Linked DNA regions of Nothobranchius furzeri. The protein of the gene in region 2 purifies or fractionates together with the protein of the main gene of each other region. This does not show direct contact. Links are inferred from orthologs where the notes say so. Each region holds a gene or a part of one and is shown on either strand. Other genes may lie near its edges. The genes, in order: pold1, pold3 and sprtn.

Region 1 (3,648 bases), on a different chromosome or scaffold from region 2:
GGGGTGCAACGGTACGCTAAACTCGTATTCGGTTCGTTTCAGTGTTTTGAAGGGCTTGGTTCGATTAATTTTCGGTATATTATTATTATAAATGGTAAATGGTAAATGGCCTGTATTTGATATAGCGCCTTCTAGAGTTCTCGAAACCCCCCAAGGCGCTTTACAACACAATCAATCATTCACCCATTCACACACACATTCACACACTGGTGGGAATGAGCTACAATGTAGCCACAGCTGCCCTGGGGCGCACTGACAGAGGCGAGGCTGCCGAGCACTGGCGCCACCGGTCCCTCCGACCACCACCAGCAGGCAACGTGGGTTAAGTGTCTTGCCCAAGGACACAACGACAGCGACAGACTGAGTGGGGCTCGAACCTGCAACCTTCCGATTACGGGACGAGCACTTAACTCCTGTGCCACCGTCGCCCGGTTATTAGATTTATTTAATTATTTAATATCTGAAGTGGCTCCTATAGTGAGCAGAACCAGGGGTCATCACAGGCTGCTAATCTAGCATGATGTATTTAATTACTTCTCAGGTTATTTGCGCCACAGACATATATGCAGGGTATCCGCGTGTCCTTAAAAATTCTTAAATTTGCTTTTCCAAATTTAAGGCCTTAAAAATCCTTTAAAATGACAAATAATCCTTAAATACAGTTTCCAGAGGTCTTAAATGACCAAAGACCCAATAAACAAAATCATTTTGTTTCTATTAAATTTTGTGAATTTCTAGTTAGTGTTCAGCATTTTTGTGTATGATGTTGGCGTAAGCGGAACCGTACACATTCAGTTGCTTGTGAAAGGGGACTATTTTTAGATGAGCACATTAGCTGGTTAAGCTGGTGGTAGCTTGCGCCATGGGGAAGTGCAAGTTTGATGGTAACTGGATGGTTAATCCCACTTTTGCGATGTGGTTAGCACCGGTTCCAGGCAATAGCTAGAAATTATAGCTTAAATTTAATTTCAAAAGTAGCTTAAATTTGGTCAAAGTGGCCTTAAAAAAGGTCTTAAAAAGTCTTAAATTTGGCTCCCTTAAACCTGCAGATACTCTGTACATGCACAGATGCCCCGTCGACAGTCGCTGCCTGTTGGAGATGCCGTATTGGCCAACCGCCATTTTAGATAGATTAGCCCCCAGTGCATTCATTTCTACTGAGGAAGGTGCTTACCCAACTAAAAAACACGTTTTATCAAGCTTTTTCACAAAATAAAACACAAGGTACGGCATGATAAAATTAATTAAAATATAAATATAATTAATTAAAAATAAATATTAAATATAAAATCCTATCAGGTAGGCTAGAAAAGTCACTAGTAATCCCACGTGATCTGTTATCAATAGTACGCTGGTTGTTGTAACCGTAGGCTGCACGGAAAAGGGCATAGTTGCTCACTCTGCATTGACTTTGGAGAGTGAGGAGACCCATCCAACATGGCAGCGACGCTTTTACACACTCCAGCGCCCAACGGGGCGTCTACGTATTCATGTCTATGATTGGCGCAGCTCATTCTCATACAGACGAGTGTTGTGTTTGACATGTTTTTATTTCTTAAACGCTCACCTCACACCGCAGAGTTTCTTCTTTAAAACTCATATTAAATAACGAGCATCCTCCGCACCGTATTTTTCTTTGTAGGATGAAAACTTTACATCAGTTGTCCCAGCGGAAAGGTTCAGCAGACATGTTTGCCACTGTGTGCCTGCACACTGTGAGAGAAGGGAGGGAGAGGCGACACGGTGCTCAGAGTCTCTACACGGACTCCACTGCAGCTGCAACAGTCAACTGGTTTGATCCGCTCCGAAAGACTTTGATCAGAATTTGCAGATCACGTTTTTTAAACGGAGATCGGGCGCGTGCAGCCATCATGCGTCATTCAATACAGCGTCTGAGCGGAAACTCCCCGAGGAACTTTTATCTGCGCTTAATTTGTGCGATTGTGTGAAAAGTTCATTATTTAACGGGAAAAATAAACCGAAACGGTTCACATAACCCCCGTGAACCATTACACCCCTAATAAAAACTATTGGTTCTGATCCTCTGTGTGTGTTGTGGACTAAGCCAGATGTTCCAGGTGTTTTGTCCTTTCTTGGATTCGTCTATCGTCTGTCCACAGGGCCAAGGCAGAGCTGAAGAGTGAAACGGACCCTTTTAAGAAGCAGGTGCTGGATGGTCGACAGCTGGCTCTGAAAATCAGTGCGAACTCCGTCTACGGCTTCACCGGGGCTCAGGTGGGCAAGCTGCCCTGCTTGGAGATCTCACAGGTGAGCACCCGGGGCGTGATGACCACTCAGAGTGGAACAGCTGGACTCCAGGTTCCAGGTTGGGGTTTACCCTTGTTTGAGTTCCCTCTCACACGGTTGTGCGCTGATGGGATGTCGGCGCCTGAGCGGTAAACCACGGGGATGCAGAGTGAAGATGAGCATTTAAATAAAAACCACACCACAGGTGTTTTGTTTTAGCAGGTGGAGACAGAAGTGTAAACAAATGGTGCCAAAGAGCTGTTGTAAATAAATCATCATAGAAAGTTGTATCAGAAGTATTTATACTTTATATAAAAGACGGTGTCCTTCTGGCCTGAGAAAAGTTATCATATCAGCTGTTTTAATCCTATAAACAGGGACATTTAATAAATAATTCCTATTTATGCTAAAGTTTGACTAAACAGACTCAGCGTTTCTTTTGGTTTGAGGTCTTAATAGAAATCTGACCAGCATAATTATGGTTTCTAATAGGGATGCACCGATAGTATCCGTATCGGTGCAGATACCGATACGATACTGGTCTCGGTATCGGTAAAAGTTAACCGATACCAGGAACCGATGCCAATGCAGTTGCTTGAAAATGGCTTCACTGTAACTTGTCATTTCTGTTCACCTAATATTTTAGTTTTGTGATGATTTCCATTCATATATTTTACTTTTTATCTACCTCACAGTCTTTTCCTGTTGAAGGCAGAGAAGAAAATAAAATCTGCATTCCAAATCATTGCATTTTTTTGTGTGTTAGAAGTATAGGTATCGGTAATCGGTATTGGCGAGTATTCAGATCCAAGTATCGTATCGGTTTGGAAAAAAGCGCATCCCTAGTTTCTAACTCAAGAGTCCATGAAAATCATGATGTATTGATCACGCTCAAAGAGGCCGGTGCTTTTGATCCTGGGTGAAACAAATGTAATTTCAACAGTTCAATTCCCAGAATGGTAACAGAATTTGAACCGATGACGTGTATCTCCGTTGTTCAGAGTGTGACTGGTTTTGGAAGACAGATGATTGAGCGGACCAAGCAGCTGGTGGAGTCCAAGTACACCATCTCCAATGGTTGTGACGCTGATGCTAAGGTGAGGAACACGCCTCTGATTCCTGATAAACCAGACTTGTTTGTGTCGTAAACACTGAAATATGTGTGTTTACTAATAATTCCTGTAAGGTCATCTACGGAGACACGGACTCCGTCATGGTCAAGCTTGGAGTTGCTACTGTGAAGGAGGCCATGGATATCGGGAGGGAAGCAGCTGCCTGGGTGTCTTCCCATTTTACACCCCCAATCAAGCTGGAGTTTGAGAAGGTGAGCCTTCAGCAGGACACGTTGGTCTCGTCGTTAGAGAGCAGCGATGTGACCTCAGATCTATATATCTGACACAC
Region 2 (4,122 bases):
ACAGTAGTCAGTGCAGGTTTAAATTATACAAATCCAAATATTCAAAACATAAACAATATGTAAACAAATCAAAGAAACACCACTTGTTTTCTCTTTTACTTGTTTTCTTCATTATCAAAATGAAAATCTAAAACTCCAGTCCACACTTGACTTGAGCACTGTACAAGTCAACCTTTAAAAAATATGTATTTAAAATAAATAGCCACTTTAAACAAATTACTAAAATAACTACTACACTATGTAATCAAATCCAAACGTTCAAGTATAAATGGCATTGAATAAGTAAACAAATCAATGACAAGGAACTAATTGTATATTTCTCTTCATCATCAACAAATAAGATGCAGGGTGTCCGTGACACGGTTTAAATGCTGGCAGAGGACGCTGCGGCTGCAGTATTTAGTGACTCGTTGCATTCTCCCTCAACCAAAAGTCCTCACGTCATGCATTTCAGCTAAAATGCTAATGTTAACCTACCTTGCACTGGCTGTGGAGACGTGGGTGATCGTCACGCAGATGTGCCATTAGATTCGAAGTGTTGCTGCCTTTTGCAGACACTTGTTTCCTGCACGTTCTGCAAACGGGATAGCCGTCTTCTATTAACTGTCCCTCAGCATTTTTCAGAAATCCCAAATATGCCCATACTTCCGATTTAGTCTTCTTTGAGGGCTGATGGATGTCCTGGGCGCTGCCGTCTCCTCCTTCGGCCATTATTTCAGTTTCAAAGTTTTGGTGCCGTTGCAAACTAAAAAGTGCGTGTGCGCGCCGCGGGAACTTCAGCTGAAGCGACGGTGGCTGGTAAGGGTCAGCGCGCCAAAACCGCGGCCACGGTAAACCCACCGAGATAATATAGTTTTTTAAAAACTGGACGGTTATTTTTATTGTCAACTTTTTTACCGGGGTTTACCGCTATACCGGTTACCGTGACAACCCTATATCGGATATTTTTGATCCCGTCCGATTTAATCCGATACAGTGATTTTGGGCCGATATCGAATTACTTCAGATATCAATATTGGAACGGGACATCCCTAATTAAAAAACAAAATTAATATTAACCAGTTTAAAATGATTTAAAGAAATAAATATTAAAGAGTAAATAAAGGATGAATCACTACAATTGTCATGTGGACTTACTTCCAAAGAAGTTTTCCACTGAGTTGGTCTTAGAAGCTTGTTTGTTTGGGGGGACTTCCAACTAGAATGAAACAAATAGATAAAAATAATTCAATAGATGTCACATTCCCTTCAGTTTAACTGGAAAACGATAGAGAAAAACAAATCTTACCATGGGTGATTCTTCTCTTTGTTCAGGTTTGCTGCTCTCCTGATTCTTTGGTGTAGGTTGTTTTGCAAACATTGCCACAATGCCTTTCTGGGTCTTCGCCGATGGTTTAGAAGCCACGCTTGATCCGCTGCTTACACCCAATTTTTGTGATTCAGGCGCCGATGCAGGAGCTCGCTCAGTTTCCCGTGCCTGCTGCAGCTCCACAGGAGACATCGGCACAGCTTTGGAGCATTGGATCGCGCTGTATCTACACATCAAATAAAGGAACCGTTTAGAGACAAGTCCCAAGAAGCAGATGTTTACAGCTGCAAGGAAACCCAACATACCTGCTGCAGTTTTTTAGATTGTCCTTTAAAGCATCGTAGTCAACATTGTAGAGAGGGCTGCTGTCTTTCAATAAAGCTTTCTGGACGCTGTAGATGTGAACACTCACTATCAAGTTCATTTTGGATTTAAAGTCTGCAGGACGAAAAAATAAATAAATAAACTGAACAAATTCACCCTTTTTAATTGATCCAATGAATTAAAATCTTAAGAGTATAGGACAGGAAATCCTTCATCAAGCTGTGAGAAATAACATTTACTGACCTTCCAGCTGGTCTTCTCTGACAACTGACACCTTGTGGCACTGAAATGCAAATAAATCATGTAACAATCATTTTATCTCCTGTTTAAAAATATGTAGTCAGAGCCAGAAAAGTTATCTTTGCTCACAGTTTGACCTTTGTCGACAAGTTTCCCTGAGACAAGATAGGTAGCATGCAGCTCAGGTGAGCTTTCCTTCCTCTTGTTCTCCAAATAATGATAAAGCATCCTAAAAGTACATTTTAGATGCAATCAGCAACAACAGCTCACTTTTACAGTTGTTTTACAGAAAAAAATCCACAGCGGCTAGGAGTTCAGACTAGAATCTGACATATTTGTGATGAACTTGTAGATGCAATAATTATTTAGGCTCAAACTGTGAAATCTAATTTTTTTCATTTATATGTTTAAACTTGTGGCAGAAACTGGATAACTTACTGTTTTGCTGTGTTGACATGGACTCCGAGAGTGAGACTCAGCCATTTATAAGTTACCTGAAAATAAAAAAGAAAATACAAGATATTATCTGTAATGATGAGCTGGTTCTTGCTATTGAATCCTAGTGTAACACCACTGGTGGCTGTAAAGCTTTAGCTAAAACACATATCGTTAATTCAAACGAACTTTATAATGTAGTTTGAAAGCCGAATGACCCTGAACAACTGTCCAAAATCGCAGCAAGTGATAAATATCGCCTTTTATATAGAATACCGTTGTGACAGCAGTATGATAATCAACAGTCCGAATTTTCAGCGTAATTTTGCTGCTAGCGACCTCGAAGCTAGTTCGCGTTCAACCACTTTAAACCTTTATAAGTTCTACCAAAGCAAGCTGAACACAAGCGGACACATCGCGGGTCAAAATGATTCTTACAATCTTGTTGTGGTCGTTGACAAATTCGTCTATATTTTCCAAATAAAGCTCGTCCATTTTTAACAGGATTTGTTACGATCGACGATGTTAGCTAAAGTAATTTGACTGCGCGGGAATCCAGTTTATTTACTTCCTGTCAGATGTCACGTGTTCGGACACTGTTCCGGTGCAATTCAAATTTACTGGTTGCCCTCTACAGGCCAATGTGCGCTATAGTAGCTTTTCACAGCGATTACGAGGAGAGATGACAATTGAAATCAGTCACTTTTATTTATTTATTTGTTTATTAATTTTAAATGAGTGATTTTGTTTTCTGAGAGATATGTGCATGAATTAGTATTTATGTTCTGTCTCAATCAAAAATCTTTGTGAGAACGTTTCCCTAAGGTTTGATGACTTAAATTGTCCTGCCTCTTTGAGAAAGTTTATAAAAGCAACAACATACAGAGTTACTAATGATCAAAATGCTTTAAAAACTGAACATTTGACCAGTCAAGTGGTGATAAAGTATCCTGAATAAAAAGAAGTTGAACTCTGAAGCATCTGCAGGAGGTCAGCAGCATCAAAAGGAGATTTTAATTATCTGTTTAGGCATAGAAGTTTAGAAGTGTGAAGGAGAAGATTGTTTGTTAGACATAATCCACTGACATGACTGTAAAAGTCACATGAGACAGTAAAGATTCAAAGCACAAGAGCAGCTCTTTGACAGGTTAATTAAAAGCATGAAGCTCTGAGAGCAGCAGTTCATCATTATTCACCTTCATCTGTGCTAGAAACAATAATAATCAGCAACATCCGCACTCCCTCTCTGCATTTTGATGAAAATCTCCAAAAATAATAACTGGATGTAAATCTGTAATCAACTCACGTTTGGCTGCGATAGCTAGTCTCAGTTATCAAACACATAAATGCTTATATCTCAGTCAATTTTACAGATGTTGAGCAACAAATCCACATGGACAGGATTTAGCAGCATTGCACAATATTGCACATAATGAGATTACAACTTCAGTTGTCAATATAACATGGCTGAAGTTGAAATCTGGAGTGAAAGTCTGCTGCACACGTGCATTTCTGTAACCCTCTCAGATAAGTTTTGATAGAAGGTCGGATGTAGCAATATGAATGGCCTCATTTTGTGTCCCAAAGGTCACACTTCCCCAGCTAGGTTGAGCTAGGTCGAGCTGTACATTGGGTGTGTCCGAATCCACAGGAAGGATGCTTATGAGTACGGGTCCTCGCCGGTCTAGCAAGCCCGGGTCCTTGAAGACCGCTAAAATCGGAAGTCAGCGGCTCTGAATTCGGACAGTCTGGCCTTCACCTCTACGGTGGCCCGTAGGTCCCGTCACAGCCGTGGCGGCGGCTACACGCAAAGG
Region 3 (4,267 bases), on a different chromosome or scaffold from region 2:
GGCTTTCTTTTTCTTGGTTTCATCCAGGATCTCCAGCCACTCCTTCTTGACTTTGCTGTTTTCCACCTGGAAGATGCGGCTGTCTGGGAACATGAGAATCTTGAACATGTCCTTCATGGGAGGGTTGTCCTTTACGTTGACCACAGCAAAGCTCTCCAGATCATACAGGGCATTGTATTTATACTTCACTGTGCCTCTGCGGTTAGGCAGCCAGGTGGCAATCAACAGGCAGTCATTCATCAGGAAAGCATGAGCCTTCTGGATGGGGGACATGTTGTCCACATCAAACTCCACGAGGTCTCCATTGTAGACCAGGTGTCTCCCTGGGGTGTCCATGATGTTTTTAGCTCCTTCCACCTTCTCCAGCAGTGAGGTGAGAGTCCTCTGCTTCAGGTCCTCTGTCTCTTTGGGGAACGCTGCCTGCATCTCTTTGGAGGTCTCGTCCTTGTCTGTGGACAGTAAGGCCTGAGTGATGCTCTCCATGATGCTCTTCTGCTCGGTGAGGATGTGGCTCAGCTGGTACATCTCGCTCTCCAGGAAGGAGATCTCCTTGGCCGTTTCGATGAACTGTCTGTAGTTCTTGTACACGTTCTTCTTGAGGTTTTGGGCCGTTTCATCAGCCAGAGTTTGAATTTTCTGACGATGCTCCTGAAGGTCTCTGTCGCCATCCGACTGCTGTGACAGCTGCTTGACGTAGTTCTGTGGATCGAAGTTGGGCGATTCCAGCAGCTTCCGAAGTCGGTTCCCGGTTTCCGACATCTTTGGTTGTCTGCGTGTTTCCTTATTAAGCAAAACTGTTAACAAACTGACGAGAAACGCAAACAGAGAACGAGCGCCTTCATATCCACGTCAACAAACACAGGAAGCTGAAAACAGGTCAACACCCCAAAAGGATCTGGCTTCTCCAACACCCGGGTTGTCAACGTCACATGAACGTCACGAGAAGGGAGAACAAAAAGGATGATCAACAAAAACTCAGAACAAAATTGTTATTGATCTTTCAGGTAAACCAAACAATGTTTTATTTTTATTTTAAAGCTTCTGTTTATTTATTTACTCATTTTGCTTTTTGTGTGTTGTTATTTTGCAGTTGTTACTGATTACTGGGCTATTGAACAACACCCGGAATAGGTGTTTTGTTGTCCAACTATTTACCTACCGGAAGTTTACGGTAGCTGCAGAAACATTACAGATTTTCAACAGCGTTTAAACAAGCTAATTTTAGTCATCTGCTGATTAAAATAAGATACAAAACTAAGCGGGGAAAGCCAAATCAAACACGAAATTAAGTTTGAAGTAGTTTTTTATTTAGAAGTTCATACGGAAAGAGACTCGTTGTAATGTAGTACATGTAGCAAACCTGCTGTTTGGCGCGAGCTGTGGACAGACCGACTATTATTACAGATACCTTTGGCTGACAAGAAGATGAGATTCATCTTTCAAAGTCATGACTTCAGTCCTTTTACCGATGTTTCTCTGAAAGGTTGATTTTATAATTAGGCTGCAGACGTCGTTTGTTCCAGAACTTCGTGCTATTTACATTAGCAAGTCAGCTAACAAGCTAGCACAGCTGCCTTCTGATGTCATGGATGCGGATTTCCTGCTTGCCATTAAATTACAGGAGCAGTTCGATAATGAGTACGAGACGTCATTAACCTCATCAAATAGATTCGAGGATAATTACTTCGAACAAAGCAGTAAGAGACGGAAAGTGGAAGCAGCCGGAGGTGGCAGCGCTGCTGTCCCCTCCTGGAAGCCGGGTCACGAGCCTGAGAAACCCCTGAGCATCGTGGATGAGTCCTGGGAGATGCTGGACCCAAACCCAGATGTGAGGGCCATGTTTCTGGAGTTTAATAGCCTGTTCTTCTGGGGGAAACTGAGCGGAGTCGAGGTGAAGTGGAGCCCCAGAATGACACTGTAAGTTTTGTTTGTTCACCAGATTTCCTACAGCAGGGATGTTTATAAACACTGTTGGCTTTACTGGGATTCAAATATGGTAGCCACAAAGCGCGAGATGCTTGGAAAAACATCATTATTGAAGAAAAATAAGGTAAAAGATTAAACAAATGGGTACCACTAAATATCTGACACAAAGTATGTCAAACATAATTTCTAAAAAAGCAAAAAATGTCCAGTTTCATGAAGCTCTATTATGGTTTCCTTGTGCTTCTATGCAATGTTAAGGCCTTCTCTATTGTATAAAATGTGTCCTGTTTCTTGTTTTGATGTCCTCCACTCCAGCGCTGTGTTACAGGAATAACAGAGTTTTGAGAAAATGCCTCCTGTGTGTTTCCGTACCTAGGTGTGCTGGTGTGTGTTCTTACGAAGGCCGAGGCGGACTCTGTTCCATCCGGCTCAGTGAGCCTCTTTTGAAGCTGAGACCCAGAAAAGACCTGGTGGAGGTGGGATGGGTCACTTTACATTAGTGGATCTTAAAGACAGAAAATCCTCATCCAGATTATTGCTAATAATTTGTTAATTTGATTGTTTCCACAGACTCTCCTTCATGAAATGATTCATGCACTGCTGTTTGTGACCCAGAACAACCGAGACCGAGAAGGCCACGGTCCTGAGTTCTGCAAACACATGAACAGGATCAACAAGGCCAGTGGGACGAAAATCACAGTAAGTGTTTCTCCTTCAGCTCTGTGTGGTTTTGGTTGACTTTACGATAACAATCTCCTCTTGTCCCTCGGTCAGATCTACCACAGCTTCCATGATGAGGTCGATGTCTACAGGCAGCACTGGTGGAGGTGCAATGGGCCCTGCCAGAGCCGGAGGCCTTTCTTTGGTTATGTGAAGAGGGCTATCAACCGAGCTCCATCTTCTCTGGACCCTTGGTGGGAGGATCATCAAAGGATGTGTGGCGGGACGTACACCAAGATCAAAGAGCCAGAAGGATACAGGAAAAAAGGCAAAAAAGATGGGAAGAAGGATGCAAACACCTCAGAGAAGACTTTACGTACTGGCAAGCCTTTAAATACAAGTAAAGGTGAAGTTTTTCTATTTTTTTAAGTAGTTTATTCAGGATTTGCCATCAGGACCAAATACAAAAACATTTCTTTCTTTCTTTCTGCTCAGGTTCTGGATCTCAGGATATAAGGAACATCATCCCATTCAGTGGGAAAGGTTTCCTCTTAGGAGCGACGTGCCAGACCTCCACATCTCCCTCAGCACCTCCGTCCAGCGTCGCCTCCACTCCTAAGAAGTCTTCCGTTCCTGACCAAACCAAAACCGTCTCCAGTGGAGCAGCTGCCTCCTCAGGGGGAAAGCCACCTGCAAAGACGTCTGTCGGGAACACAAAAGCTTTTGTAAACATTAACGGCTCACCTGTTAAAATTCCTAAATCTAGGAGCAGCTCTGGGGGTCACGGGGCCGACGCGTTCAAGCAGAGGTCCATTCACGATCTCTTCAATGTCAAAACTCACAGAAAGTCAACAAGCCATCCCTCAGGCTCAGAGACTAAAAGAGCGGCAATGTCTCCAAATTCTTCCTCTGTCGGTGTCGACACACCTGGGGCAGCGAGCCAAGGTCAGGCGCCCAGGGAGAGGCTGTGGGATGACTGCAGCAGCTCGGCCACCATTTTTGATTTTGTTGACAAGACATTAAGCAGCAGTTCAGCATCATCAAGGGAGCAGGAAAAGACCAAATCAGCTGTTACTGCAGCTTCCAGCTCCTCCACATCACTTCAACCCCCTGGAGGGCTGCACACGCCCTCCGCCGCCGCCAACGTGCTGATGGTCAGCTGTCCCGTGTGCCAAACTAAAGTCCAGGAGTCAAAGATAAATGAGCATCTTGATTCCTGCCTGTTCTGAAGGACTTTTAAACTAAATGGTTTTACGAACCAAAGTTTTAGATGTCTGTTTTGTGCTTTAATCTCTAGTTTAACAGATATTTTGTCACTTGACAGTAATATTGAGGTATTTTCTAACTCAAGTGGCTCTCTGACAGCTTGTGCCTCAACTGCATTTACAGAACAGCAGGGTTTTGTTAAAATGTTTTTAAAGCTGGTTTCTACTTGAATAAATAAGTTTATAATGTAGTCAGACCCTCTTTGTCTGAGGTGTAGGAGGTTTGCAGAGGGAGTAGAGTTCTTCTGAAGGTCACTGGGTTTATTTTGGGTTCTGATGTCTGATGCTTCCTCCAGAGGACAGATCTCTGCTGCTAACATTTCACTTCCGTTTGCTTTTTGCTTTGTACACCTTCACTTGGACTCAGCTGCAGAGTTATTGATCACACACAGATCTCATCAGTGATGTGAGACCTG

What was found.
Region 1: the proteins of pold3 (region 2) and pold1 purify together in Homo sapiens (co-immunoprecipitation; 8 studies listed by BioGRID and IntAct, with this or other methods). This does not show direct contact. The link is inferred for Nothobranchius furzeri from reciprocal best matches to the Homo sapiens genes POLD3 and POLD1.
Region 3: the proteins of pold3 (region 2) and sprtn purify together in Homo sapiens (affinity purification with mass spectrometry; 3 studies listed by BioGRID, with this or other methods). This does not show direct contact. The link is inferred for Nothobranchius furzeri from reciprocal best matches to the Homo sapiens genes POLD3 and SPRTN.

What each region holds. Positions count from the first base shown.
Region 1 is NC_091752.1:51,279,780-51,283,427, forward strand, and holds part of pold1 (DNA polymerase delta catalytic subunit), read left to right. Parts: intron 1-2,120; coding exon 2,121-2,268; intron 2,269-3,248; coding exon 3,249-3,344; intron 3,345-3,433; coding exon 3,434-3,571; intron 3,572-3,648. UniProt on the Homo sapiens protein: As the catalytic component of the trimeric (Pol-delta3 complex) and tetrameric DNA polymerase delta complexes (Pol-delta4 complex), plays a crucial role in high fidelity genome replication, including in lagging strand synthesis, and repair.
Region 2 is NC_091751.1:39,611,967-39,616,088, forward strand, and holds the start of pold3 (DNA polymerase delta subunit 3), read right to left. Parts: upstream 2,899-4,122; 5' UTR 2,804-2,898; coding exon 2,747-2,803; intron 2,368-2,746; coding exon 2,312-2,367; intron 2,103-2,311; coding exon 2,003-2,102; intron 1,917-2,002; coding exon 1,877-1,916; intron 1,748-1,876; coding exon 1,615-1,747; intron 1,536-1,614; coding exon 1,289-1,535; intron 1,199-1,288; coding exon 1,138-1,198; intron 1-1,137. UniProt on the Homo sapiens protein: Accessory component of both the DNA polymerase delta complex and the DNA polymerase zeta complex.
Region 3 is NC_091742.1:10,760,350-10,764,616, reverse strand, and holds sprtn (DNA-dependent metalloprotease SPRTN), read left to right. Parts: upstream 1-1,396; 5' UTR 1,397-1,585; coding exon 1,586-1,917; intron 1,918-2,302; coding exon 2,303-2,402; intron 2,403-2,496; coding exon 2,497-2,625; intron 2,626-2,700; coding exon 2,701-2,992; intron 2,993-3,081; coding exon 3,082-3,815; 3' UTR 3,816-4,035; downstream 4,036-4,267. Other genes in the region: exoc8 (exocyst complex component 8), read right to left, coding at 1-759. UniProt on the Homo sapiens protein: DNA-dependent metalloendopeptidase that mediates the proteolytic cleavage of covalent DNA-protein cross-links (DPCs) during DNA synthesis, thereby playing a key role in maintaining genomic integrity.